Drosophila melanogaster: one gene and its partner. The protein of the gene in region 1 interacts with the protein of each later gene in a biochemical or structural test. Each region holds a gene or a part of one and is shown on either strand. Other genes may lie near its edges.

Region 1 (14,199 bases):
AATGCATGGCTGTTCTGTCCAACCGACACGATAATGCACATACTCATACATATGTACATATATGTTGCACATCAATCCCCCTTTCGCCGACATGCAAAGTGCAACACCTCTCGTTCTTCGAACAATTTTAATTATTTCCACACGCAGCAGCGACGCACTCAGTAAGTCCATGGGCGGCAGAGGGAACCGGCAAAAGAGTGGTCGTTGGAGTGGGATGGTGGGGGGTGGGGGGGCGAACCCGACCGCAGGGAGTGTGTTGTTGGCTTTAACGGGGAATTAAGTCGGGCAACAGGAAGTCAGCGAGCACAATAATTAAGATGAGCGCTCGAGGGGCAATTATGTGACATCAACTTGCCAATTTTAAAACACCCCCGCCCCCCCGCAATCACGAACTCTCCGCATCCCTTTATCCTTCAGTCGAAGGATAATGCGAACGTTTTGGCCAACAGTGGGCTGTGTATAAAGATTTCTAACCATATATAAATATTCTTCGAACTGCATACTTTGCGACACATTCATACACTCAGAGAAAAAAACCTTTGTAAACTTGTAATCTTGGAGTTGGAGTTTTCCGAAACCAGTAGGCCCGTCTCCAACTGGCAACACTTCATTTCACCTAATTTGACAGGGACACACACAACACGTTTGCTCTACGGTTCGGTCGGTAGTACCAAATCTTATATACACTACATCTTCACAGTATAGCCATATATATATATTAATATTATCAAAATTTTCCACTAAACCTGCTTTGGAATGAGCACAGAACATCTGAATGACGCGGCGGAGTCCGTGAGTGCCCGGAGTTTGGCTTTGGATCGCGCTATCGTCAATTTGGTGCACCAGGCCCGTCGCCTCCATTTGAACAGCGTGAATGGCTATACATCTCTGGAGGCATCTCTGGAGAAGGCAGTGCCAGAGTTGCTCACGACTAGGAGTGATACCGCACACCCCACCACCACAGCGACCAGCTCGGCAAGGTCTTTCCCGAAGCGTAGGCCCAGTAGCCTAGCACCACGACCTGCGCCCAAGGCTTTCAAAATGCGCAAGACCGATACGCATCTGAGGACCCCACGTGTCGTCCAGTGTAAGACGGCCCGTATCCCGGTGACGCCACCACCACCGCCACCCTCGCCGCGTTGCCCAAAACCTGGGGAACTTAGTTCGGCCATGGACATGGCCGATCTGCTTCGGATCGAGATCGCCGAGACGGATGCACTGTTGGATCAAATGCTATTCGATGCCAAGGCACTCGAACGCCAGGTGGCGATCCAGTGTCAGTTGCAGAGCGATGCGGAAATGATCCGCAGCCTGGAGATGGAGTACAGTGGGCGATCCATGAGATATCTGATAGAGGCCATTCAGTCGGACTGCGAGAGCCAGGATGTCCAGGATCTCTGGAGCCGATGTCAACGCTCTTTGGAACGCCACGCGGAGCGACAGACGGAGCTGGAGTCCAAAGAGGGTCTGTATCTGGATCGGAATCCAGGCAAGGGCACCGGCAAGGGCACCCAAACCGATATGGCTGACTCTCAGGACGAGATGCTACCTATCTCGTCCAATTCGATTTGCCAATGGTTGCGAAGGGCGATGGGTTCTTTAAGCCAAGAGGATCAGGTGCAGGAGATGGCCATCTAGCGCAGGCCAGCCTTGAATAGTATTTGAATAAAGATACACAACTCTAAAATCACTTGTGTGCTCTGCTGTTTTAACGATGGCCCATAGAAATATTGAAAAGCTGCGATTAGACTAGAACTGCGAGGATTAATTAACTACTACTTGAAAAAGTATATATATTTGTTAACTGATTTATACAGTGATACAGCTCAGTGATTTGACCGAACTCATCTTACAATCTATCTATCCATTTAATAAAAAGATATTCGAAAATTTCTCATTTCTACATTTCGAGTGAAAGTACCACTGTGCCGCCGCAACTTTGTGTCTGCCTTTGAATGGTTGTGTGAGGAAAGTTTTCTTGTTAAGTTGCAGATTGAATGGCGCCGGTAAACACGGTGCGGCAAGTGCAGGGCTCCCAGCTTCGAGGACACCATGCATCCATGCCTCTGATTGAGCCAAATCCTGGCTCATAACTAATTGCCAGCAGCGACGACGATGGCGCTGGCAGCGGTGCAAAGTTTAAATTAAGTTGCGTGTCATAGTCGAAAAGTTTTCCACTTATTCAAAGAGGCACGTGCTCCACTGAGCACTACTCCACGGAGAAACTCCTGTCCTCCACTGGCCAATAACGCCAGCGAAGACGGAGGATTGACAAAAGAAATAATAACCAACGGATGGGAAATATATGCATTACTGCTTTACGTGCAAACAAAGTTGCAAATATAATGGAAAATCCATAAATCACAAGAAGCTACTGATAAAGTTAACCACTTAAGTAATTTAAAATGATAAGTTAACTGGGAATCAACATCGAAAATGCCGTGGTATATTTAATATTTTTTGGATTACATTTACACTTAGTTATTCCAACTAATAAATAGGCTTCTTTTATTTAGACATTTAATCAAATGCATAACATTTAAATGGAATTTTCTCTGCATGTGCAATCTCTTACCGCCATCACACACAGTTTTGTTGGGTTTATCACACTTCATCTTAGGATCATTTCCAGTTGATATATGTAGCCAGTGAATGGCAATCCGTGCTGTTCGTCTCCTCAATTCGTTTTCACCTTTGACTGCGGCTGCGGCGACGTTGATGGCGACTCATCGAAGTCCAGGTAATCTGCGTAGTCGCGTCGCTTGGACAGCGACAAGGTCCAGCAGATGATCCACAGCGGCAGGAAAATCGTGCAGATGACAAAGTACAGCCAGTTGCCATAAATCTGCAATAGGAAAGTATTTTAGTTTATTATCTATGTATGTTAGTAGTGGCAACTGAAATCTTAACTTACCACGGAATCGATAAGTCCATAAGCCGAGGCATCCATGGCCGCGGTGGCCGCCCTCAGCATGATCTTCTGCACCGGCAGCTCCGGGAACTGGTAGAATGTCATGGCCAGCACGATCACATAAACGACCATCATGGGATTCATGACCAGCGTGGCCAAGCGGATCGTGTTCCTCAGCGTGCTGCGCGAGTTCTCCTCCTTGGTCTCCAGCGCGATGACCAGCGGTACAGTCAGCACGGCCGCAAATAAGCCCAGGGCAAAGTTGAGGAGCCCGATGACTATTAAAGCGCAGCCATAGATTAGCAGAAAGGCCACATGCAGCAGCTCCAATCCTCCGGGCGGCAAAACCACCACAAAGGGCAGAACGAAACCGATCAGAGAAAGAAAACTCAGTACTGAGGTGGTCAGTGGTGCGGCGCCCATAGGAATCTCTAGGAAATATTGCTGCAGGGGCAGCACGTTGCACAGGAAACCAATCAACAGGGTGGCAGTAAGGTAAATCAATACCGAACCATACGGCAGCTCGAACTTATCCGGCTCTAGGTTCTCCTCCAGTTCCGCCTCCTGTTCGTGCTCCCTAAGCCAGCCAGCGGCCTTTTCCAGCTCAGCGTTGGTCGCCGGGAGCGTGGACCACGTTAGATAGGCCTTAAGGAAGGCACAAGCTACCAGAGCCACCAAAGCGGGCATATAATCCCCAATGGAGATGTAGCGATCGTTGCTTACGATCACATAGAAGAAAAAGCTTTGATGGAAGCGCTCCAGAAGGTTGTTCAGACTCCTGGCTATTCCCTCGATGGCCTTCAGCAAAGGCACCGCTGCCGATCCTGGGCTGCCCTTCAGTGTGGCATGGGTGGCCCTTCGATTGGCAGCTATGGTCAAAGCATCGATCCGATAACGGTGGAACAGCCCATGATTGCCAGTGGGTACGCCCGACGACTGGCTGGCCAGCATGGTCAGCATCTGGCGGAAGTTCTGCTCGAAGTGCGACTGGCTGTGACGACGCTTCTTGCGTGGCGCTTGTTTATAGCCAGAGGCGATGCCCTCGCGGGCCATAATTCTCTGCACCAGATTGAACATATCCAGATTGGGCAGCTTGCCGTTCAAGCCCTCTATTCGCACATCCACATGGTCAATCTCCAGATCCTGAACTTCAATATTCAGAGCCGCTTGCAGCGAACCAGCGCGAGCGGGCAAATTGCCAGGACGCAGGTACGCCTTGCTCAAGTCCAGTTCCCGGTCGCCATCGTGATAAGCCTCCAGCCAGGCCTGCATGCCCAGCTGCTCCTGTTCGGTGATCAGGAAGATCAGATCCTTCGCCCAGTAGTTCTTGCGCCGGGCAAAATCGGCGAAGGCCAGCAGAAGCGGCACGCTGGCGGAAATGTCCGTGTGCACGGAACTGGCAGCGCGATATGGAGCCGCAAAAACGATGCCCTCCGTGGAGGCAATTCTTGGGGCCCTCAATATGCCGTAGATATTCTTGCCGTGATACTCTTTACCGCCGCCAAATGGGTAGCGCAACGTGTAGTTGTGCGTGTGCGTCTCCAGGCCGAACTCGTTCATCTTGGCCGCAATCCAGGCGTGCGGCGTGGTGGACAGATGATCCTTTCGCTCCCGCTGCAGCTCCTCCAGCAACTGGATGGCCAGACGATTCGCATCGATGCGGATCTCCGGATAGACCAAGCCTACAATAGATCACACCAATTGTTAGCGGCTCTCTTTTGGTGACGCTGCACGTAACTCACCTGGCGAAAGAGCATTCTCGGAGAGATATGTCCCGTGGTTGAACTCCGGCAGCGCCAAACAGAAGAACCAGGCCACACCCGCCACATAAAGGGCGTAGCACACCTTGCGAACATGACGCGCCAGTCCGTCCACCAGCTTGCTTTGCGTCGATATCGACGGATCGGACAGCAGGCCCATTTTGGCTGCCCTATATCCTGTATATATCCCGAATCACAACAACACGAATCGGACAAGCCGGCGGAATTGTATCGATGCGGGCGTTATCGATAACCTCGATAACCGATTGCTTATGACGCTAGGGAGGAGAGGGTTAGCAATGGATTTTAATGCTCGAAATTTTAAACTTGTTTTTCCAATGTTTTCGATATTTCTATATATATTTTTTATTATATCAAAATATACATATTAAGCTAACCTACAAGAAATGTGTTGCAAAAATAATGAAAAGAATAACCTGTCGTTGTAAATATTTATTTAATTTTTCCTCTTTTTGACGTTAATGTAACGACGCATTTATTTGAGAAAGTACATCATGTTCTCAGATTGGAGTTTTTCTTTTTTACAGTTTAAATCATTTATTATTGTTCATTAGTCAGTAGGAATCGTTCAGTTCTTTCTGAACTTAACCTAATGTGTAGCCTAAAAGATATTATGGATTCTCTTCCTTAATTATAGTGTATAAAAATGTACCGTGGAGAGATTATGCTATCTTACGTGTAAGGAGTTCATAGAGATGTATTCTCTTCAGGCGTCGGCATATCGGCTGCTGTGGAAGTTTATTTGGTTTTTAACAAGTCCAGAGTTTTTCGAGATAAAGTAGTTAAAGATATATATTTCAAGAACACAGAAGTTTTTAAAATTTTTAAATGGTTGTTCCAAATTCCCTCTCCAAAAACATTAGCCAAACGAATTAGACATTTGGTTCTATCATTAAGAGTTACAACAGCCTATCCGTAAAACTCCTTAACTATAAAAAAAAAAAATTGTAAACCAAATGTTAAGTATTACATTGAACCTTCTGATGGTTCCATTTAGATATATGACTATACATTTTTCGTTTGGAGGGGTGCAATAGAATAGCTTATTCCTACGCTTTCTTTAAAAAAAAATAAAAAAAAAAAACCTAATCGTCATCGTCAATAACAATTATATGCGATGATAGCAGAACGGGGTCTCCAGGTTCCGTATGCTAGCCGGAATTTCCCGGAGCTCTGACCACTGCCGCTGCAGTTTGCGGACTCCAGACGAGGTAATCGGTGTCGATGGTCAGCTTGGGCTGCTTGAACTGCGGCAGCTGGAGGTGGTCTTGAATGGTCTTGGACGTAACGCAAATGACATTCTGGCCCTTCCAATACTTGATCATCTTCATGGACTGCAGCGTGTAGATAATGTCGTCGTGGGTGATGCCACTCATTTCGCTCAGCTCCTTGATTGTGATCTGCTCTGGAGCGCAGCGGGTTTTCATCAGCTCCAGCAGCGTGTATGCCCAATAGCTGCGATAGCTCAGCCTACCCAGATCCGAGAGCGGTTTCTCCGGACTACCGATTACGCCCTCCTTGCGCGACAGCTCATAGCTAAAGGCTATTAGTAGCTTTCCAAATCCCTTACGCTGATGCGGCGGCAATACCAGAATGCAGGCCACGTTGTAGTTTTCCAGCGACTTCTTTTCCTTGGAGAAATAGCCCACAATGTGACTGCCCTCCTTGTCCGTCTCGCAAAGGATGTAAAAGAGAAACGGGTCCATGTCGAAGTATAGAACCTTGTGGTCCAAAAAGAGCTTGGCCATCAGACACAAAAGTTGGCAGTATAGTGACTCCTCCTTGCCGTTCACCTCGTAAATGGATATATTGCCCTTGCGGTAGATCTCTCTTCCGGGCGGACGCCTGCGGTCGCATTCGTGCAGATGATAGGCATAGCTCGACCTGAAGCGCATGTACTTTAGGCAGTACTCGCAAACATATAACGTACGTGCCTTGCCATATTCTTCGGGGAAGGGACTAAAGTACCAGGTGTCGATCTCGTAGTTGCCAAACTGCAGCTTATCAATGTACTTGATCTTCGTAATGGACTCGTGCTCCTTCTCCAGCGCCGCCTGCGTGGCGGTCAGCTCAGCGTGGCTCTTCTGCACGTGGTTGATCTCATCGTAGCGCCGCTTCTGGTAGCGTGTCATCTTGCGGTCGCTGTAGTCATAGCGACTGTTCTCGCAATAGGACAGATAGTAATCCTTGTTGGCCGCACGCTTCTGCCGTTCGGATGAGGCAGCTGCCGCCGCGGCGGCCTGTTGGGCGAGCATTTCCCTGCTAGTACTTGGCTGATCGGGGGCTAATGGTGGCGCTGGCAGCACGGTAATACCGCCCAAGTCATCCGCATTGTCCGAGATCCTATGCCTGCCCACCCATCCGTCCAGGCGGCGATTGAGACCAACATAGTGGACGTAGTACTCATCGGGAGCGGCCGCATTCTCAGTGGTGCGAGACTGAAGCACCTGGCCACGGTGCACGGTGCCATCCTCGCGCCGAATAAAATAGATCTTGTCGGGATTTTCGCTTATATCGATCTTTTGCATCAGAGGGTCACCTGTTGTGATGACCGTCTCCCTGGAAGTGTTGTCGTGCTCCATGGTCAAGGCATCATCTTCGTCCTCCTCTTCCTCTTCATCGTCATCGCTGCTGCTAGTTTCGCTGCTGTCGTCAGAAATGGCCTCAACGTTGGCGCTAAGTACGGTTTGAATGGGCAGAACTACGGCTGGCGGCGGCATGTTGCGCTGGCGAGGATCACGCGGCGCCAGGCGGGTGGGCAGGCCAGGTGTCGATTCCTGCATGTAGCGAGAGCGTATGTAGGGGGATAAATATACTGCTGGTGGTTCCTCGCCGTCATCTGTGGGCGAGGCGGGAGTCTCGGGGACTTGTTCCGCTGCTGGAGGAGGTGGTGGTGGCGGTGGGGCAGCCAATGGCAGCCCCAGTTGTTGTGTCCCTTTGAGATGAAGAGGAGCTGGAATGGTAACCACCTCGGTGATTATTGCATTGGGAGGAGCATCGGGATCCATAACGAAGTCGTCAATGTTGGAACCACTGCCGTAGGGGTTGATGTCGGCCACGCAGATTACCGTATCGGAGGAGGGCTCATCCTCGGTTTCAATTTCCTGGTCCACCACCTCTTTCTGCTTCTGCGGCTGCGCGGGCTCCTGTGCCTCCAATTCAACTGGACCTGGTGACTTCACCTGATCCTGACCGTCCTCCTTCTTTTCCTCCTGCTGCTGCTGCTGTGGTTGCTCCGGCTCGGGCTCCGGTGGTGCCTCCTCCGCCTCGCTAACATCGTCGTAGCGGGAGGAGCTGGACGACCTGGTGGAACTAGTCGATGTGCTGCTCGCCGGCGTGCTGTCCTCCGAAATGGGACTGATGTCGCGATGCTGGCGCTTCGCCGGTGGCTCTGACTCCGCCGCGGCCTCCGCTTGGACACCGCTGAGGTCGAGCGACTGCTCCGCCGACTGATCCGAGCCGCTGACGTCTAGACTGGCGCTCAATTCGGCCGCCGCATCTTCAACCGGCGTCCTCGGCGGACCGCCAATTGTGTACGCATCGGTTGGCTCCTGTTCCGGCTCATGCTCCTCCTCAATCGGCTGCTCCTGCACGTGGCCCGCGCTGGGTGTCTGTTCCAGCTCCGCTTCAGACATTCTTAGCCACTAGATTTGTCCAATTGCGTATTTTTGTTCACTCTTTAGGGAAATGAAACGAAATACGGCGTGAAATGCAACCCTGATTTATCACAACATGTCCAGATAATCGATTATTAATCGGTGGTTATCGATGTACAATACTTTGCACCCTTTTTGAAATTACCCTTCTGGATTTTTCTGTGCATTCAGTATTATAATATATTTTATTTATCCAAAACCTTCAGAGAAAGCACTTTAAAAAATTGGAACTGATTTCGAAATTTTTATTGAACATCTATCCTACAGAATTAACGCGCAAACAATTATTGGTAGTTGATTTGTGTACATTGCTAAATACAGACAGCTAAAAGCACGGCATGAATTTGGAATTCTTAAAAAATCTTAAATGCATAGATAACAAATGAAGAGTCGAGCTCTCTGTTACGATAGGGAGTTCCTATATGCAATAAGCCGTACACAGAGTTTGGATTATGCGGAGACCATTACATGAACCCGCCGAGTATAGGTCAGATCATCGTGGGTTCCCGTACTTATATGAGTTATGTATATATATCTATATAAATGTGACGCGTGTTTGCTATGGCCACCGTTCGACGAAAAGGATTTGGTTTCGGATATTCATATTCATCACATCAAAAGTATGGACTAGAATAATACCGACGACCTACACCTGACTAGCGCAGATTTAGCTGCCTCTGCTGGCCACGATCGTAGAATAAAAGATAGGCGGGGACGCTCAACACCTCGTCGATGCTCACCTCCCGCACAATTGTATCCGATGTGTAGTACCACCTAATAAGGATAGCACAGAATTAGCATAATTATTACACAGAGGCAATGGAAACCATACCGATGTGCGTTCCGCAACGAGCCACGCCTGTAGGTTACAAAGTGACCGCTGTTTGCCTCCCCGGAGTGCACCACCACGGCCAGAAGCCGGTAAAGATTCTTGGGGAACATCGTGCCAAAGCCCTCGCCACCACCAACGCCATTGTTCATCGGCAGGCTGGAGGAATACAGCGACATTGTCGAGCCCCAGGGAGTGCCAGCCTGTAATCATGAGCAAAAGTGTTTGTTTTAACAATATGCTAGTTACTAAATGTAAACAGTTCTTGAATTGAATGCCACTACTCTTTGTACACCAATTAGAAAAGGAAAGACCTATATTCTATAGATATATCCTATACATATATATCCTTTAGATATATGTATTTAAATGATCATATATAAGGATAATTTTTACAGGGGAAGTTTGTTATTCTGGGGCAAACATATGCAACACACGCTCACCTGGCTATTGAGATGCGGCTGCACGAAGCTGTAGGGCGCCATGGAGAGGCTCTCGGGGAAGTGTACATAGTCCTTCCGCTTGCACACCTGTCCAGTTGGCAGCCACACCGTCCGCGCCACATGGATGCACAGGCAGGCCGGTAGTTTAGCGAACGTAACCGATTTGGTGTGCGTGGTGGTCTCGTTGCAGGAGTCACACTTGACATCGCTCAGATCCTCCGATGTGATATACTCGCTAAGCAAGTGGCCCAAACTCAAGCCAGTTCTGCGTTGCGGCGGCAGATTTAGCGTTATGCTGTCGAACTTATCGTACCGAACGGCCGACTTGGAGCCGCAGCCATTGCACACGATCTGTGCGCCCATGGCGCCCTGAAACGGATGCGCCACTTGGCTGGGCATCATGTTGGACCAGATGGACACCCGACCTGGTCCGCGATGCAGGCGCTCTAGCGATCGACAGGAGCTGGACACCCGGCGATTCAGACCCTCATCCTGCTGCTGTTGGGATTGTGGAAGTCGCGGTCGCGACGAACGCTCGCCGCCCAACATAGGCGTAGCCAAGGAATCCGGATTGCTGACGAGCGGAAAGCCAAAGGGTGTCCCTGGCGAAACGGCATCCAGAAGCACGGATCCCAGGCGATCGTTTCCGTCGCGTTCGCAAACAGAGGCAGGCGAATCCGGTGTGTGGGCCTCGGAACGCACCAATCGCTGCAAACTGGTGCTCTCATCATACTCCATGTTTAAGAAATCAGTGAGCATGGCACTGGAGGGCCGGTTCGGTTGATCCCCGATCCTCTGGCTGGCTCCCAGTCCCGCTGCCATGGAGCTAAATGATCGAAAGCCCCCTACTGGCGTTGCTGTGCCTGCCAAGCTGCTGTTATCATCGTTATCCGTGGGCAGAGCATCCGACAGACAGCCGAGGGGCTGTGGTCGTATGGCCTCCTCCTCCAGGCAGGTCAATAGCACGTGGAACAGCTCGTGGGCGTCGTGCTCCTCCTGTGGAATCACCCAGCCCAGGGCATTCAGAGCCCGGAGAACGGCTCCCGGTGAATAGGGATCGCCGCGCAGAGTGGCATGGGTGCCATTGACCACTTCCAGAGTGTTTAACATCGACGTAATTAAGCTTTTTCGATCCGGCGAGGCGTTGTTGTACAATTGCAGCCAGGCAATGAACTGGGGACAGGCGGCCATCGCCTGTAGCAGGGTGTTTAGGAAGCAGGTCAGTCCAAAGTTGTGGAGACCGGCAATTTGGCCGCGTCGTTGACGCAAACGGGAACCTGCAAATGTTTCGCTGGAGTAGGGAACTACGCCATGGAAGATCTACTACTCACCCGAAGGACCCCAGAAAACGAAGGCTCCGACTACGGCGGCTACCGTCACTCCGGCGGCCATTAGAATCTTCTCGCTCTCCATGGCTTGAGATTTCCGATGGCTGGTTTTCCGGTGCAGATCACTGCGGTACCGGGAACTCCCAATCCCGCCGCCAAAATCGCACACAGACTAACTCTAGTTAGGAATTTAGACCGAAAAAATTTTTGTGTCTCTTGATGTGTTGCAAAGCGATTCAGTTGTTAACACCACAACGTGCGGCCATTACGCAACACTGGCGCGCAATTATCGTTAAATTTGCAGAGAAAATCAAGTATTTTAAAATTCAACCGAATCGTTGTACATGTGAATGTTTCTACTATAAGCATTAAACAAACATAAGTTTGACAGCTTAAATTTGTAAACGTAGAATATATTTCCCATACTATTGTATCGTCTATCGATAGCGACGATTTGATCAACTTTCGATAGGCACCTCGAACAGCTGTGTGGAAAGGGGATTGTAATAAAGGAAAACAAAGTAGGCACAACAACCAAAGTTTTCAATCGAAACGGAAACATTCGGATATCAGTCGTCGTTCTTAATAGTTCAGATTAGAATAAAAATCCTCCTGGAGGAGCATAATTGAGTGAAAATTAACTGCAAAATTTGTCTGTGATTGTGGAAAGTGAATCAGCTGTTTGGGAAAAGTAAAACGGAATACTCTGGAACCTTCTCGTCGTTTCTTCCTATTGTAAGTATTCGGATTGGCTTTCATCTTGTTTTAATGCAGCCACTTTGCATCGTCCTTGTGTCTATTTCCCAATTTTCCAATTTTCCCCAGCTGACTTGCTGCGCAATAGGAAAAGCAACAACAACGAAACATAAATACATACACACACATACACACACTCGCATGGACCTAATCGCTTCTGTTTTTGTTGCTACTTTATTGCGCCGTTTGTTTATGTCGTCTATTCGCTGCGTGGCCGTTGTGCAATTTGCTCCCATTTTCCACATTTAATTTTGGAATCTGTGCCACGCAGCTTGCCAAATTACATATTCTAGAAAATTTGAGAATTTTCGAAAGTGTTACATTTTATTTCCATTCAAATCTTTTGCGCCTTCTCTCCTTGTCGCACATTCATACATGCAAGCAGACGCGCACTTGTTTGCTCATTTGTGTGTGTGTGCGAGTCACGTTTAACGGGTTCCTTCCGTGTGTTTGTTTACAGTGGGTATTGGCTAATACCTATTTCGAAAATAACAATTGAAACACTATTTTTGGTTGAGAAATATGCGCACACAGCAACAGGTTATTGAAAATTGGTTATGTGTTGCAATTATAAACCTAAAAATATTTTCCTGCCAACTCTTCTATATGAAAATCGATACTAATATGAGAAACCGCATCAAGGAATATGGAAGAGTAACTTGTATCTTGCGATCACTGTATCTAAGACCCCCTTTCTTTCCCAGGCGAACTGACCCCGAGCGGAGCTTTAGCGACGACCTCGAACAAAGAACAAAGAAAGCCCGAGTGCAGTTGCCAATTGCCTTGTAATAATCACCAAGCCATATATACAACTGGCTCTAACCGGTGGTAACCAAATTCGCATTTGGTCGAAACCAGTTGCTGCAGCTGCCTAACGTCGCACTTCCGCCCGTGAGGAGACAACAAAGGACTGGAATTTGAATATGGATGCCCAGGAGAATAGGAGTGAACAGTCGGGACAATCGGGCGACCACGAAGAGCACGAGGAGCGCCGGATCCGTACGGACAGCGAGAGTTCCGTGGAAAGCATGACGCGTTTCGTGCTGCCCAGCTTGGATGGTACTCCGCCGAAAATTGTGACCCTGGACGAAGTGTCCAGCATGTTCAAGAATTTGCGCAACATGGAGCTGGCCCACGAGATAGCCCTCAATCCGGACTTCAAGCTGCAGAAGTACGAGCCGCCCTCGGATAGGTGAGCATGTGCCAGCAGCAGCCCTGTCAGGGAAACCATTCAATTAACATTCCCATGTCCACAGTTTGGAGGGCGCCATCAAGAAGATGGTGCACAAGGCCTTTTGGGATCTGCTGCGTGTGCAGCTGGACCGCCAGCCGCCATCGTATGATCAGGCCATCCGGCTGCTGGCTGAGATCAAGGAGTGCTTCCCGCAGCTGCTGTCGCCCAACAACGAACGTGCCCTGGCCCACATCAACGAGGTGCTGGATGACTCCGTCATCCGCCAGCAAGCGGAGCGGGGTACCCTGGACTTTCGAGCATATGCCAACTTTGTGATCAACATCCTGTCGCGATCCTGTTCGCCAGCTAGGGACGAAGCAGTGGCCGCTCTGCGCAAGATCGACGATGTGGTGGACACGTTTCGCTGCATTCTCGAGCTGATGACGCTGATGAAGCTGGATATGGCCAACTTTATGCTTCGACTGGCGCGCACCGAAATCGCTGCCAATTCGGTGCAGTATGAGAAGGAGAAGTTTAGCAAGTACTTGCGCGAGTTCCATGGAAATGGTGGGTTGTTGGCCAAAAAAAAAACTACAATGCCTTTATTTATTGGGAATGCCATTATTTCCAGTTGGTTTTCCGGCCACTGAGGATTGGCTGCAGCGTCACCGGTCCGGTAGCAGCGATGATGAGACCATTTACAATGCCTACATGCAGCTGATTGACTATCCGGCCGACAAGGAGTTCCCGGAGCTGTTGCGCATCGACAAAGAGCGCTTCGCCGGCCTAAGTTGGCGAGCCCAGCGCTTGATCCTGTGCGCCTCGCTCATCTCGGTGGCCCAGGGCATGCCTATCATATCGCAGCGCCGCGAGAACCGCATCAAGCTGGCCCAGCAGCTGGACATCATTGTGCAGGACATCAAGAACCAGGAGTGAGATACCTCGTGCTCTAGCCGAGCGCTGTTTTAACCCTTCTTCAACCTCAATTCACAGCCAAGTGGCCTCTACCATTGAGAGCTGCTACGAGCAGATTCGCTCCTTTGTGAACAAGGCCCTGGAGCAGGAGAACTTGCCTGCGCTGAGTGATGCCGACCAGGCGGCGCTCAAGAACCAGGTGCTTAAGCTGGCCAACAAGACGTCGCCGGTGCCCAGTTTGATGGGTGAGTTTACTCGTTTATGCAATACAATGTATTTTATATTCAATTCACGTAAATCGCTTGCAGCCAAACGATTGGATGGCTATGTGCGCGTAACACTGCGCTCCAATGGCAGCATTCCGCCGCCGCCCTCAGGATTCGCGGACTACCAAGAGGAGCTGGTT
Region 2 (16,281 bases), on another chromosome or scaffold:
ATAATTAGTTATAATTATTATATAAGTGTCATTAATTTAATTCATACAATCATTCATTTAATTCAAATCAATCAAAGGCAAATAGAGTAGCTAGCATTTATACCTAACAATAAACATTTCTTAAGCACAGTTTGAAAAATATTTATATTCCTATATAATATTTAAATATGCGCGCCAATTCTGACAGTGCAGCGAGTTGGCAGGTTGGCGTGTAACAGCTGTTAAGTCTGCACTGAGTTGACAGCTCTGACTCAAATCCTAAAAATCTACGTGGAGCAAAAATAAACAAATAATGGCAAAAAATCCAAAAAAGGAGGAGGACGGCGGTAACGACTGGGCCCAAAGTGACGAGGACGACAACTGGGACGATTGGGGCGATGACGATGACAAGTTCGTTCACGTGGAGAAGGAACAGCAGCCACAGGAGAAAGTCTCGAGCAGAAACGACGCAAAAGGAACGGCGGAAAATCAGGAAAAGCTGGAAACTCCCAGAATTTCTGCTCCAGCAACAGCATCCGCCACATCCTCGTCCTGGGGTCTGTGGGGCGGTAAACTGAGCTCCGTGCTAACCACCGCCACGGAGGGATTGGGCACGATAACCACCCAAGTCAACCAGGGGCTTAATCAAATCATCGGAGTGCCCGATCCCGAGGAGCTGGCTCGCATTAATGTGGCTGAAAAGGCGGAAAAGGCTGCTAAAGCGCCGCCAGAGGAAAATGTCGACGATGAAAAAGAATCTTCGGCCGCCTTTGGCTTGGACTTTGTCACCAATCTGGGCTCCAAGGTTCTCAACACCGGACTGGATACACTCGAGGGCATTGGCAAGAAGACCATGACCATCCTGCAGGACAACGATCCCAAGCTGATGAACAAGAGGAAACTGCTCGGTCTGGAGGCCAACTCGCCTAATTTGAGTGCCGTGTTGCTGGAGGCAAAGAAGGAGGCCGACCAAATGGAGCAATCCCTGCAACAGCTACAGCTGAAAAGACAGAAGGCGCAGCTGCGTTTCGAAATCCTTTTCGAAAATTACTGCGGCCTGGTGCACTTCGAGGCCCTGGAGATCCTTTCCAAGGAGTCACGCCTCAAACTGGACACCCTACTCGATGCGGTTAGTGGCAATGCCCGTGCAGAGTTGCAGGAAACGATAAACGAGGTGAAGGAACTGATCGAACTGGAGGATCTGGATGTGGAGAGTGAAGGTGACTACGAGGCGGAGGAACTGAGCGAGCGATTGGCGGCCACAATCAAGGACGCCGAGCTGGGCATTCAGTTTGACGACATAGCCAAGTAAGTTGTCGGAAACTAATATTATTTAAACATACCATAAACCCAAATCTTTTGTACAGTCACTGGACGCAGTCCCTCAGCTGGTTGACCTCAGAGGAAGCAACTGCCGCCGATCTGGAGCAAGCCTATGCTAAGAGCATCCACGCGCTGAGTGAAGCGTGCGCCCTCGAGATGTGTAAGCTGCACAAAATCGCCGAGCTGTTGCTGGTGAAGCCACATCACAGCACCGCCAACGAAGTGGATGGCGTCGTCAATCTCTGCCAGCAGTTCAATGGACACCTTCAAGGACTTAGCCACCGCTTCGCCGCCGTTCTGAGCGGCAAGTCAGAAACGGAGGAATCAAAAGGCCGGGTCAGCACATTCTTTTCCGAAATGCTATCTGCCGTGCAGTTCATCGAGAAGGCCTACAAGCTATTTACACCCATTCTCCAGATGGGAGCTGTGTAAACGGATTTAAGATTAATTGTTGTACTTTCTACTTTTACTATTGCCTGGTTAGTGTTCTCAACTCACTTGTTTTTCCATATAAATGTACAAAATTATAAATGATTGCGTTGCAAATGCTTGTGATAACATTCCCGAAATTATTGAGAAGTTTTTTCAAAGTGCAACTGAAAGTTCGGTAGCCTGCATTCGTGTTTGGTTGGATTAGAGCCACCTAATAATAGTTGGCTTCAATGTGATGAACTATTTTTAAAACCCGACTCTCGATAGGCGCGGCAATAATTTTCAGGCATTATCTATTCTATGCCCTTTCTATTCGAACTATTCTATAAATCAAACGCAAAACACGAATATCAAATTGTCCATTCTCTAGTTAAGTCCAGCAAAATTTAGTTAGAATCATGGGAGATCGCAACAAGCAGCCGGTTATTCTGCTGAAGGTTCCGTCCTCCGATGATTTCTATGGTTCGGCGTTGCGCAGCCATAACCTGGATCCCATCTTCATTACTCCCTCGCATTTTGTGTTCAAGAATCTGAAGCAATTGCAAGCCAAGTTGCATGAGCCGCACAAATATGCCGGGATTATATTTGCATCCCCGCGCTGTGTCCAAGCTGTAAACGAGGCACTAGGAAAGACACCACTTCCTAGTTGCTGGCGTGCGTTACACAATTATTCCCTAGGCAAGAACACGCACAGCGCCGCCTGGATAACATTCCAGAATCTTCCGACTCTGGGCGATCATGCCGTGAATGCAAACAATCTGTGCGATCTGATCGTGGAGACGTTTGGACCCAAGAGGGATCTGCCACTGCTCATGCCCTGCGGCAATGGCGTGGGTCAGACACTGCGCCTCCGTTTGGTCGCCCAGGGATTCCGGGTGGATGCCTGCGAAGTGTACGAGAGTCGGTCGCATCCGGATTTCGTCAATCAGATGCGGCACGCCCTCAAATTCAAGCGAATGGAAACGATTGTGTTCTTCGGACCCTCCAGTGTCCGCAGCTCCTTGGAGTTCTTTGGGAACTACAACGTTTCGCTTAAGGATCGCAAGCTGATAGCCGTGGGCAGTGGCACCAGGAAGGCAATGGAGGAATCTGGAATTAAGGCGGACGGAGTCGTGAATGCTGCTGACGTCGACCGCCTGATAAATATCATCAAAACATAGTTTAGTATCGATCATTTTACGTTTTGTTTTTACCAGTTTTTACTTTTGGTATGATTTCAAAATCTGTTTGGTGTCCTTTAAAGAAATGAGGACAAAAGTGTGTTATTAATTAAAGTGTTTCAACAAAGTACATGTAATGTTTTTATTACAAAAACTATAATCAAATAGATTGGATCTATTTGAACAAGATACTTCAAGATATGAGTTTTAATTTAACAATTAGATACAAAATGGGATTAAATAACATAAAGTAATCATGTTCTTAAAAATAGCTTGCCAGTTTCAGACAAGTTTTCAAAGAAGTACAGATGTTTAAATGATGATGGATCTGAATGAATTTCTAAGCTCAATATTCTTCCATTTTACTAAAAACAAAGTGTAAGAATTGATAATGTTGTCTGTATGTTCGTTGTACTGCTTAGTTATTTAGAATTCTTCAACATGTCGAACATATCAATATTATTTTGTGGCTTGATGGGCGCACATAATTTGGCACGTTTGCCGCTTAAAGAGTTGCCCACGATCTGTAATAAAAGTTCAATAATTTAATTTCGATTATAGGTGCAATTAACAAATACTCACTGGTATATCATCGCCGCTATCAAAGTCGGAGGAATATGTGGTAATTTTTTGACGACGAGCATTACGCTTTCTGGCAGTGCTTGAAAATTCGTCTGTATTTTCCGGTTGCACCTTAGTAGGAATGCTCTCAGTTCTGGTTGGCCCTTTGGAATCTTTTAGCTGTTTAATTGTGGTCACTGGTTGGTCGATCAGGCAGTTAATTCGATTCATTTTAAATTGTAGCACAGCCATTTCATTCTGTTGGGCAATTTTAAATATATAACATGAAATATAATGAGTCCGATAGACTTACGTTCTTTTCACGCTCAAGTTCAATCAATTCGGTTTCTTTTCTTTTAATTTCAAGCTCCAATTCGGATACCTTTTTCTATATAAAAATAATAAATCATTTTGTAGAAAAAAGGTTAATGAAAAAGAATTTATAAGTCTTACCATTAGGTTATCTTTCTGAGACTGTAATTCCTCGCTAAATTTAACTTTGGCCGTGGATAATTCACTCTCGATTTCCTTCTTTTCAGCCTGAAGATTGATAATAGCGCTCTTTAGCGTATCATGATCACTAATCAAATATTCCAATTTATCCTGTTGAGCCTTAAAAGCTTTATTCCTTTCTTCGAGTTCAGATTTAAGTTTTTGTATTTCAACAGCGTTTCGCTTATTTTCGCTCTCAACTTCAGTGGCCTTCATCTGCATTTGATTAGCAAGCTGCTCCTGTTGCCTTTTGAGTTCTTCTTCAAAATTATGAGTTTTTTCTTGAATTTCATTACCAAGACGCTTTATTAGCTCTTCCTGATTGCTGCGATGGGACACCATTTCTATAAGTTTTTCCTGCAGTTCGGAGACCTGCAGAAGGGTTTCTTTGTGTAGCTTCTCACTGTTGCTTTTTAGCTGAGTAAAATCAACTGAAGCCTTGTTCAAGCTCTCTTTTAACTCTTGAACAACAATCTGTCAAGGAGAATAAATAATCAAGATACAATAAAATATGAATTTAGTATTTTTCAGACCAACCTCGTAGGCATCTGCTTGATCTTTTATTTCCTGGGAGTGCTTCAATTTTGTTTCAGTCAACTCATTGATATAACTTTCGTTGATATCAGCGAGCTCGCTCAATCTCTCCGTCATTTGAGTTAGTTCATCACTTAGGGAAACATGTCTTCTTTCCTTTTCCTCAATAAGAGTCTTAAACGTATTTATCTCATTGCGAACAAGTTCGAGTTCCCTCGTTGCCTGATCAGTCAATCGTTGCTGATCCACGAACTGCAATTCACTGGCTTCTAAATCACGTTGCAGTTTCGACAAAGCTTTGTTGGCCTCTATTGGCAGCTGCTCAATGCGATCTTCAAGCTGGGCGCAGTCAAGCATCTTTGCATTTAAGTCGCTGCTTAATTGTAAAATGTTTGCCTGTGGAGAACATAATGTTATAATCTAATACAAGGAAAGCCAGTGTAACCCACCTCAAACTTTTCCTTTTGTGCAGACACATCTTCAAATTGAAGCTGTAGGTCTTCGTGGAGCTCTTTGAGATCGGTAAGTTCATGTAGAATCATAGATTTGGCCACTTCTGCTTCTTCCAAATCCTTTTTATAATTCTCGCAGGCTCCAGCTAACTCACGATTCGTTTGCTGCATATTATTCAGCTGCAAAGTGAGATACACATGTAGATATATATAAATTTATATCTATATATTTTAAAATATAGTAAACTCACCTCTTGCGCCTGCAGGGCCATCCGGGATTGAGCATCTCGGAGCTCTGAATTTTTCTTCTCAACACATACTTTAATGATTTCCAGCTCCTTGTCGTAATGTTGCTCGCAGTGGGTGTACTTTTTGTTGATTTCCGTGTACTTCTGGATGTTCTCTGCGTTCTTCTCCTGCTGCTCGATAAGATCAGTTTTCAGTTGGGTCAGCTCCAGTTCCATATTTGTCAACCTGAAAGAATAAGCTCACTGCAGGCAGGAACTGTATTGAAGAAGGAAGGTCTTACTTTTCCTTCAAGCTGATATTTTCCGATTTTTTCTTCAGCGAGTCCATGGCGATGGCTCTCATTTTCTTGCTGACCACCAAGTCTTTCTTCTTGAGATTATTTAGCGATTCGTTGTACTGCTTTATGAAGCTATGAATTATTATTCCCGTGTGGGGCGACAGCTTCTGAATATCTGCCCATAATTCTCCCTCGTTTTTGGGAGACTTTTTTAGACTTTTTGTTGAACTGTCTATGGTGGCTGCAAAAGTTTGGTCTTCCTGTGTTTTTTCCACAGCCTGAGAAGTTTGCGCTTCAATTTTTGATTGCTGAACTCTAGGAGCCACTAGCGGAGTTCTTTTTTTGGATGGCTTTTCGTTTGATCTTTCGAAAAGTTGAGTTTTTACATGATCCTTTTTCCAAACAGTTGGAATTTGGCTGTTTTTTTCTTGGGCAACTGTACCTGGTTTTGGGGCTTTCGAGTGAGCTGCATCCACTAACGGTGCTCCCGATCTTTTCTTGGCGCCCGTCATTTTGCCAGCTAAGCAGTTGTATTAGCGCAACTAATTTATAAAAGAAATAAATATATATTGTACATTACAAACGTTTTGTTTAGTTTACCTAAACTTTTACCAAGTGCGTCCTGCGTTGAAAAGCAACGGTAAACATTAGCTAGAGATGAGCTTGATGACCTACAGTATATTGTTGTTCACAAGAGGTGTGTGTACTGTCTAAATACTGACCTCACGGTATTTTCTACTGAACGCCCCTGGTTTTGCGTTGTCGCCCTGGCTACGATAACTATGTTACAATTTAATAATAATTCTATTTTGGTTGTCAACATTCAGTTTTTGCTAGCTCTATTTAGAAATTTGAGTGCTGCAAGGAATCTAAGTGGCATCAGAAATCTGATCACGACTACATAATGGCGGGATCTGGAGTTGCCAAGCAGATATTTGCCCTCGATTTCGAGATCTTTGGACGAGTGCAAGGTATGCAATGCATTTTTCTGATTCGGCTTGTTAAACAGCGTATTAAATTTTGCAGGTGTGTTCTTCCGCAAAGTAAGTACTGGGAGGCCTATATATATATCTGGAAATCAACATTTAACTTATGTACATTTTTGGCTTAGCACACGTCGCATGAGGCTAAAAGATTGGGAGTTAGGGGCTGGTGCATGAATACCCGGGATGGGACCGTCAAGGGACAACTGGAGGCTCCTATGATGAATTTAATGGAAATGTAGGTACCGCTGCACTCCACTAATTCAATCATTTAACCATCGCCCACTAATTTGAAGGAAACATTGGCTGGAGAACAACCGAATTCCCAACGCTAAGGTCTCAAAGGCTGAATTTTCGCAAATCCAGGAAATCGAGGACTATACGTTCACTTCCTTTGACATAAAACATTAAAAACGAATTATTAGCTCTTTCGTTGTCCATCCAATTCCGAAACAAAGTCTAAATAAATTACCAGGGCTGCAACTTGCGTAAGCAGGCATATCTGCATTGCTATCGACTGAGTCGATAACATTCGATAGTATGAACATAAGAAATATTACGTTTCGCAAAACTGAACCCAGTACTGAAGTACAACAATAAATAAATAATAAATTATTTAAAACAAGGCGGAAAATTATTCCGAGAATCGATAGTCGCTAGTCGAAAGTGCGCACCACTCCAGTATCTACTCGATATATTGCTATCACAGCCGATAGTTTGCAGCTCCCTGCCATAGACACTGGTCATCTCGCTCGCACACACAACAGTGGGCCGCGCCACCGCCATAGGCGGCGCACGTGCAAGAGCGAGACAACCAGCTGGGCGACAGCGCACTTTGGTCTGGCACAGAAACGAGTACAGCTTCGATACACGTCGTTTTGCCAAAAGCGTAGCAGAGCAGTCTAAGCGATGAAAAAAATAAATGAGGAAAAAAGTCCGTGAAGCGAAAACCGTAATTCCTACAGTGCGAGTCACGCCATTGTGTTTGCAAAAAATATTTGCCAATTGTGCTACGGGCAATTTTTCGGAACGGCCGAATTGTGCGTATAATGAAAAAAAATACTACTTAATTTTTAAGCAATTTACAAATTCTTGCGTGCTGCCTGCCTGCTGTCGGTGTGTTCTTGCTTGCATGTGTTAGTGAGTACGATTACTTTCGCGCTGAAAACCTTTTTCCACTGCCCTTTCGCTGGAATCTGGGCGAATATAGATAGGACACAAAGCACATATAACTGATTTTTACTGCAGAATTGATCGAGACATGTGGAATACAATAAATGAGATTGTGTAAATAACTGAATATAGTGGCGCATACAGTTGCACGTGTGTGTGTGCTAGCATGTGCGTGTGTGTGTGTAAAGGCGCGAGTTTCCGTTTGCCTAGGCTAATTGTAGTGGAAAAACTCAATAAACGGAATTACATAAAAACATGGTGGCATGATCGGCAGTTTCCCGCCGGCAGAAGATGCCCAATCTTGGAAAATTGTAATTTTCGAAAGTAACCGCAATGATTTCGTCAGTATGTAAAGTAGTCTGTCAGTCCCTGCATATGTTTGTGTGTGTGTGTTCTATACAGTTTTTTTTATTGCGCATCATGGTGTGCAATAGCGCGCTTTCTGACCTCTCTCTCGCTCTCATGGGTTCTCTTGTTGGCCAAAGCGACGCTGTGTGTGTGTTGTGTACGCATATGTAGCATATGTACATAACACGCCGGAAAAGACAAAAAAAAAAAACCATTCCAAATTTTGAAATCTTACGGAGGCGGGCGGTTTAAACGAGATAAAAAATAAATACACCAATATTGTTCTTTTATATGATAACGCAGTAGTCTCGGACCGAATAGTATGCCTTTATTTTGTCGTCCTAACGCTGAATTGCCGAAAAATAATAGCCCGTTTTTGGAAAATTCTCGACAGGATTAGCATAAAGAGACGCCTTAGGAGTCGAACGAACCAAATGCCGCAGCAGCCGGCCAACGTATTAGCATCAGAACGATGGCCCCAGCGCTCACAGCCGAGCCACTAAGTCCAAAGGAGAAGCTAACCAGCACCGCCTCGCCCTCGGCCCGCAGCTCCTCGGAAAGCGGAGGAGTTGGATGTGCAGTTGGCTTGGTCAAGAAGCCGGCAACACCCACGCCGGCCACGGCCACCACGCGGATTACCCGCTCATCAGCGGCAGCGGCCTCAGTTACCGCTTCCCCGCATCTACAACAGCAGCGATCCTCGCTAGCAATCAATAACAAGCGAAAGTCGGGCAACGCTAAAGCCAGCAATGAACCAATGGGGCTGAGCACAGCCCCGACTCCACACAGCACCACTTCACCAAATCCCTCGACGGATACTGCGGCAGCCTCCACCTCTGCCGTGGAGCACAACAATAACGACAGCAACAGTACCTCCGCCGGCAACAGCACCTCCGCCGACAACAGCTCCACGCCCAAGGACAACTCCACCGCTCAGCTACTGGCGGATCTAACCATCAACTTTGAGGAGACCATATCCGCGGAGATTTGCCTGAGGAAAACCCTACCCGATGTGAGTCTGGGGAAAGAGCCGGTTCCGCCTGCCTCGGTGCTGGCAGTGGCCACAAGTTCAACGAGTGCTGGCAGCGCTCTATCCTTATCTGCAGTGGATGAGGTGACCAAGATAGAAATAGATAATATAGAAGGTGGGTCTAAGGAATCACTCCAAATAAATAGTCTTGACTCAAAATTTCTCTCGCCCACTGTTTCAGAGCGTCTCAGCCAGCTAGATGGGAATGCCACTGGAAGGCCCGAGGAGCATGTGGCACCACCTTCTGTTCCGGTACCCGTGCAGGAGGCGCCAAACACGCCCACCAGGCCACAGGCGCCACCAAGTGCCCATCTTGAGTCTCCGCAGCCGGCGCGAACACAGCAGCAGTCCATTCAACAGATGACGCCGCAAAGCACCACCAGTTCCAACAATTTTCTCAAAGACGGAGCAGCTGGTGCTGTTCTAGAGGATCAGGATATCGAGGAGGTGCTTAAAGCGCTCAAAACATTTGACGGTGGCCATGTTAATCCAGATACCATTTGCGAGTTTTTCGACGAAGTTTGGGAAGAGGCAGCACCGGCAGCGCCATTGCCGCCCGCGCCACCCGAAAATGTGGTGGATGTGCCGGGCGCGAAGCCCAGCTGCAGTGGCATCCTCGTTAGCGGCAGCAACATTTCCCAGCCGAATGTGATTATTAAGCAGGAGCAGCGGCCCTGGCAGGAGAGTCATGCTGAGTTGGAGCAGCAGCAGCACGTTATCTCGCGCAGGATCGAGTTTTTGCTACGCAGGATGCGCAAGCTCCAGGCGCGAGCGATGTGCCGTCACGCGAGCGAGGAGGTGGTTGGTATCATGGAGTGGTCTGCCCGCAGTTCCCATAAGGCTCCAGTTCCAGCGAGAAGTTCCACGCTGACTGAGCAGGAGGCCACTGTCCTATCGATTGTCTCAGGGCGTCCGAGCTCAACCTTCTGGGAGGAGCAGAACAAGCATCCGCTGCCTGCTAGCCAGATGAGTAATGTGATCCGGCATATTGCGACGGCGGCAAAGCATCAGCAAATCTGCCACTCAGCCAGCGGAAGCTCTGCTACTCTGGCGCCATCCTCCAGCTGGTACAACAGCTGCAACAGCTCTGCGCTGCCGATGAAGCGTCCACGAAAGAATCAACTTGATGCTTCGGTTGCAACGGGTGCCACACCCACTGCACCTGCGCCAGGAGCGGTAACATCTAGACAGGCAGCTGGCACGACGGGATCCGCAACGGGTTCGAATACACCGCGGGCGGATGATATCGTGCCCGGCTACGACACCTATGTGACTAATGAACTCACCCATGTGTCTGGCCTGCTGCACACGGAGCTTCGAGAAGTACAGAATGCCATCGACTCGGACGCCACGGAGTCAAGTTCTGGTGGAGAATCCGCTGACGAGATGGTAACCTACAACAACAACCAGCAGCTCTCGCTACCAATGTGAGTACTTCGTATTATTTATGTACATACTTAGGTTATCGGGAATATTTTACAAGTAAACTTTCTTCCATCTTTTTTTGAGGGGGGTTTTCAGCTTCTGTCATCTTTTTAAGATCATTCTTTTGCTATAGAATTTGTCCGATTAATGTTGGCTCGGTAGTTTTCTTTCAAAATTGTTTTGCTTTGACAGGCATTTTAAACATGATTTAACGTCGTCCTTAGCAATTGAAAAGTTGTAATAGGCTTTGATTAGAGTTGTTGTACCTAATTATCGCATTTACAATGCGATATTTCAACTATTTCAACAGTTTTTATTAAAATTGTTAATTAGCGATTATATATTTCTTTTAGCTTTTTTTTTGTGGTATTCTCTTTCCTAATGCTCTTGAAATTTGATTCTTTGCAGCACTCGACGCGCTGTCTGGCGATATTCGAGAGATCGTGCAGCCATTGCCCTGCGCTGGTCCTGGCTCTGCTCCCAGCTGACCGATTTGGAGATGAAGATCCGTCAGCACAGCGACCTTTACATGGATCTAACTCAGTCCAAGGGCGAGATCCAGCTGGAGTCCACAGCTAAGACCTCACCGTCGCTAGCACAGCCGGCAAATGGCATTAAGGAGGAGCCCGGATCCGACTACCTCTGCAGTCGGGCACGTCCATTGGTGCTGTCCGAGTTCCGCAAACGCAAGCTCTTCCAGACCACGAACATGCACACGATTTCCAAGAAAGCCGCACGCCCCAGCAACATTAAGTGTGGCTGCCAGTGGCCGCAGGTGCCATGCACACTGTGCACGGGTCGGACAGACCCTACGGCGCCCAGGGATCTGGTCGAGACGATGATGCCGCAAAACCGGGTGGCATTGCTCGATGCTGGCTACCATCCAGTGCTCAGCTTCGCCAGCGGTGAGTGGGAGGTTACACTGAGTGGACCCATTTGGTTTTCGTCCATGATTATTTCTTATCATCTGTGATGGTTTAACATTATTTATTCTACACTTGAGATTTGAACTGAATTGATTAAAAAGTAAAACTTTAAAATGCAATACTTGCAAATAATTTTTATTCGAAACTAAAACATTAAAATCCTCGTATTCTTTACATTGGATTCCAAAATGAAAAGAAATAGTCGGATGATGACAGCTAAAGTGGAATTATGTTTGAATATATTCTTATCCCTATCATTCTTGTTTCCCAGATGTCAGTCAGTCGGTTCACTTGGAGGCCGTTGCCCGCCAGCCGGACTGGCAGTACCGCGTCATGCGCAGCCAGCCCAAGGCCATTGTCAAGGCCATGTGGAAGGCGGAGCGCGAGACGATAGCCTCAGGCGGTGTCGGCGGACAAGGTGGCAGCCGGCGGTCGGGCGATGCGGCGAAGCGGCGTTATATACGACGCAAGGAGCGCAACAACAACTCAAATAAGGAGGCTGGGAGCGGAGCTAAAGCTGCTGCTGTCGCCGCAGGAGGAGCAGGCGGAAACGGAAGCAGTAGCGTCGGGGGAGGGGATAGCGGAAACGGTACTGGTACTGCTACTACTTCTTCTTCTACTACGCCTACTACAACGCCACTTGTGGCCAACAGTAAATTATTGTAAACATGACGAAATTCGATAATTGTTATTAACATAAAACAACAACAATCTTTTGCATCTCTTCTTCTTCTTTTTCTTTGCATCGATCAACCAAAACACGAAATTCCACCAACACCATCAACAAACACCACCACCAACAACAACAACGAAAAACCCCACCAATTGTTTTATTTTGCCATTCCGTTCTTGTCTCCGTTTCGTCCCCGTTCCGCATCCAAATCACGGACTTGACGCAACATCAGCAGCGGCCAGGGGCAAGCGGCAACCACAACACCCAACTGGAGCGAACAGTTCCAGCTCGCTGTGGCCAGACTCTCGCCAACGCCAACGACAACGCCACCACAGTCCCTCCTCAACCTCGATCTCGGCACTGAGCGGCGCTAAGAAGGCACGCAAATCCGCAACCAACAGCAGCAGCAGCAATTCCACACAGCAGCAGCAGAATCACCACGGCACCAAAATCAACAATCATCATCTCAATGGCTACGGCGATCAGTGGGGGGAGCAAAGCAGGAGTCGTCGCAACTCTTCGCCCTCCAACAGTCATAAAAATGAGAGGTATGTTTCGGATTCAATAACTGATCCCAGGGATTCGCGATAAGTAGTCCTGCTTTTTTTTTATAAGATAGATTGTTATATATAATTTATATGTATGTTTCCCTTGCAGAACCTCTGAGCGTCGCGTTCGTCCCATCTACGACATCAATAACATCGTTATACCCTACAGTATGCTAGCCCAGTCGAAAATGGAGATAATTCCCTACAAGGAAATACCCATACCCAAGTAAGTATTCAATTTTGCGCTAAGTCCTTATTTTATATATATATGTCGCATAATGTAAAATACCAAGATTTGTGTATATCTATTAAAATCACCCATTCCATCTTTGCTTTCAGGTGGCGCATTGTAGACAGTGATAACGATAAGGGAAAACATTCGTCAGATGAGTCAATGGAGCGCAAACTGAGCAATGGCTGTGTCGCATCAAAGTCAGAGGAGCTAGCCAAACAACAGCTACCACCACCACCAGATCAAGATCAAGAGCAGCCGGCCCTGCAGCCTCCGAAGGTTAATGGTTTAAAGGAAAATCAAGCAGTCAAGCACAATAACAATAATAATACAAACAATAATAATAATAAAAATGGACTGGTAAATGGTAACGCCAAAAAGGATGAACTTAAGGCTGCAGAGGATCACGATACGCAATCAAAAGAAGACGACGATCCAAAGGAAAAGGTGGTCAAACCCAAGCTCAACGGAAACTTGATAAAGAATCCGATTGACAAAACTGCCGAAACGCAAGACAAAATTGCTCAGCCAGCACCAGAACCACCACTGCCAAAGCGACCCAAGCTGGAAACTCCAACCTCCAACGAGGTCACCAAGGCTAATGGGCAGTTGGTGCAGCAACAGCTGGAATCCCGTGAGAGCGAGGAGGAGCCACAGCATGTCGACGAAGATCTTTCGGATGAAGCGTTTATTATGCGACATCAGCGAGCTCTTCTCGAGGAGCGACGCCGCTTCGAGACTTTCCTTAAGTTCCCCTGGAGCACCCGATCGCGTGCAAATAGGCGCGTCGATAGTCGTGCCGAATCTAGTGGCGCCAACACACCGGATCCCGCCTCACCAGCTCCTCATCTAGGCGGCCCTGGTCACGACAACGAAAGCATTCCCTCGCCGCTGGCGTACCCACTGGACGCTTTTAACGAAAGCGGTGAGCTGCTGACTGGCGGACAGGCACGCCAAGCTCGTCGTCGGACTACGTCTAGCAAGCTTAAGGATCAGCTGGAACGGCGCAGCACCACGCCCGATCTGCGGGAGGTAAGTCGATGTCCAAGTTTCACATTTGTTGAACTCATATATAAAATAAATTCTGGTTGTGCCTATTACTTTTGCCGAATTTTGTTTTCAAACTGCTTTGAATGTTCAAATACTGATTGTATAGAATAGTTTTCTAATTGAAACCCTTTTCCTTTTTGTATAGTCTTACACTGTGATGCCATCTCCCTTTGAGCCCTTGAACTTTCCGCTCTCCGACGAGGTCTACCAGCGATTGCTAGCCGAGACATATGCGCCGCCCAGGTCAATGACCGTCTCAAAGCGGGCCAAAAGCAAGTCGATATCCTCGAACTGTGATGGTGGGAACACCTTCACAGGAGGCAGCGGCAGTCGGCGCAGCAGCAAGTGCAAGATTAAGCCAAATGGTCAGCTAAATGGCCAGCTCAATGGCCACCCTGCGGCGGCGAAGTTGAACGGAATAGATGCGGCAAATGAAGGTGGAATTTCTGAGCCGGAAGAGGAAGAGATGCTGCTAGAAGACGAGGATGACGACTATCCCAAGCATCATCTGGCGCCGCTGGATGACGAGGAGCCGTCGACACCAGATGTCGAGCATGAGCTTTACGACTCGGCGATCGATGCCTATCTCGCTGATCCGGAGGCGCTAGAGGAGGATATGGGCGAGGATCCCTTCGAGGACGACGATCCCAACGATCCGGAGTGGAAGACACGGACCGAGGGTGTTCGCAGCAGACGCATCTAAGACCAAAATCCAAAGTTTTCGTTATTTAAGACTTTTAAACGATTTGTCAATTTTTAAAGCCACAACACACACACACCCACAAATCAGCCGGAGCAGACCAACAAATTTTAATTTGTTTCAAACGGTTTGGTTTGCACTCACAACAGCATTGCGTACTCTAAGCAATCGTCTAAGTTATTTAGTTCTACGAGCCCACAACAAAAAAAAAAAACACAGATACGCTACACACAAGTACACAACAAAACAAACACGAAGCAGAAGCGAAAATCTTGAAACAATGTAAATACAAGCTAAACGCATAGAGCTAAGCAGTTACTGATAATTGTACACTAACCAACGATCAAGAAATCATCGAACGCACCCACCACGTCGCGTGGACGTGGTGGATGCGGTCGGTTGGAGCACTGGTCAGCGGTTAAGTAGGCACCACAACAAACCCACTTGGGCTTCAAGCCGAAGTGCGCTAATGATAAAAATATTAAGCTAATCTAAATATATATATATATACGAAAACATTTAAATATATACCATATGCATACATTAACGTGTAAATGCCGAAGAGAGCAGTTAGCTGAAGATTTGAAATGTATTCGCACCTGCACACAAACGATATAACAACTAAGCTATAGAAGGCAATTATCTGTAAATTGATCAAGCTTAACCATTAGCTAACCAACCATTAGCCTTTAGCCCAGCAAGTAATCAGTCGGCGTTGGGGCCGTGTTTTTCTTATATTTTAAAAAGTTTATCAGCTGTAAATGTATAGAGCGGAATTCGAAAGGCGGTGTGTGAAAATGGATCGAACGATAAATGTATGTATATGTATTTTAGTTGCTTAGGCGTTTTCATTTCTACCTTATAAACACGTTAGCGGCTAATTGTAGCAATTAATACTATAAAACACAAAAAAAAAAACAAAAACAAAAAACAACAACCATAAGGAAACCTAGCGCGGCTATGTCCGTGAAAATGTTTATTCTAATTTCGTTTTTACTATCTACTGCGTATGTTTCACCGCAAAGCTAGAATCCAGTTTAATTCGTTAAAACTTGAAAAGAAATACAACAGAAATGTGAAGATTAACTAAGGACCGCAAAAATACAGAATTATATATTCTTAAAAATGACACATGGAGCGCCAGAAGTGATATGCTGGGACCACCATCGCCAGATGGTGGAATCTGGCCAACATGTGTGTCGAATAGTTTCACTAGCTGACTTCACCAGTTGACTTCAGTGGGCGATTGAACTTGGAATCGAAATGATGGTAAGGGCGGACAACGCACTGGCGGCTTTAAGGATACTGACTCCCTTTCAAGAAGTTTTCATTGCTTTTTCTGCTGGCCTGGAGCTGTGTGTTTCTGGGAAGCACGGGTTCTCTAAATCGGATTGGGAATTCTGATATAGGCTTTAAATCCTTGGAGGAGCTAGTCTTGATTAGAAAGACTTTGGCTGCACAGGCACTAAAGCTAAGGGGCTTGGAGATAAATCTGCATCGCGTGCTCAGCAAGGTGGTGTTACTCGCCGATGCAGTTGTGCAAGTACCTGGAAGATACTCCTCCAAAGAAGATCCCCTTGCCGTTCTATCTGAACGTCTAAATTTGTTGCTGGAGCGACTGAACCAGGAAGAAAGAATATCTACGAATTTGCTGGAACTCAAAGAGTGGTCAACTAAAGTGTGCCAAGAACCTTCCCCAAGCCAGACCTTACCAAAGGAACTTACTGAAGAAAA

Evidence for each region.
Region 2: the proteins of mof (region 1) and nsl1 form a complex in vitro, tested with the Drosophila melanogaster proteins (one study listed by BioGRID).

The regions. Positions count from the first base shown.
Region 1 is NC_004354.4:5,868,426-5,882,624, forward strand, and holds mof (males absent on the first), read right to left. Parts: upstream 8,429-14,199; 5' UTR 8,328-8,428; coding exon 5,844-8,327; 3' UTR 5,415-5,843; downstream 1-5,414. Other genes in the region: CG15764 (uncharacterized protein), read left to right, coding at 757-1,638; GAA1 (glycosylphosphatidylinositol anchor attachment 1), read right to left, coding at 2,678-2,845, 2,915-4,593, 4,654-4,831; Usp30 (ubiquitin specific protease 30), read right to left, coding at 9,005-9,122, 9,181-9,380, 9,621-10,897, 10,952-11,033; CG16721 (uncharacterized protein), read left to right, coding at 12,628-12,896, 12,961-13,445, 13,510-13,810, 13,872-14,038, 14,102-14,199. UniProt on the Drosophila melanogaster protein: Histone acetyltransferase that catalyzes the formation of the majority of histone H4 acetylation at 'Lys-16' (H4K16ac), an epigenetic mark that prevents chromatin compaction and constitutes the only acetylation mark intergenerationally transmitted.
Region 2 is NT_033777.3:15,786,472-15,802,752, forward strand, and holds nsl1 (non-specific lethal 1), read left to right. Parts: upstream 1-7,310; 5' UTR 7,311-7,582; exon of another isoform or gene 7,583-7,729; intron 7,730-8,357; 5' UTR 8,358-8,435; coding exon 8,436-9,108; intron 9,109-9,174; coding exon 9,175-10,420; intron 10,421-10,826; coding exon 10,827-11,323; intron 11,324-11,615; coding exon 11,616-11,996; coding exon of another isoform or gene 11,997-12,010; exon of another isoform or gene 12,011-12,249; coding exon 12,250-12,565; intron 12,566-12,674; coding exon 12,675-12,791; intron 12,792-12,904; coding exon 12,905-13,829; intron 13,830-13,992; coding exon 13,993-14,550; 3' UTR 14,551-14,749; downstream 14,750-16,281. Other genes in the region: CG9590 (uncharacterized protein), read left to right, coding at 293-1,287, 1,347-1,734; Uros2 (uroporphyrinogen III synthase 2), read left to right, coding at 2,133-2,894; c(3)G (crossover suppressor on 3 of gowen), read right to left, coding at 3,317-3,418, 3,477-3,713, 3,769-3,843, 3,909-4,421, 4,485-4,877, 4,931-5,113, 5,185-5,407, 5,463-5,971; Acyp2 (acylphosphatase 2), read left to right, coding at 6,364-6,430, 6,486-6,502, 6,571-6,680, 6,739-6,853; CG9593 (uncharacterized protein), read left to right, coding at 15,811-15,816, 15,869-16,281.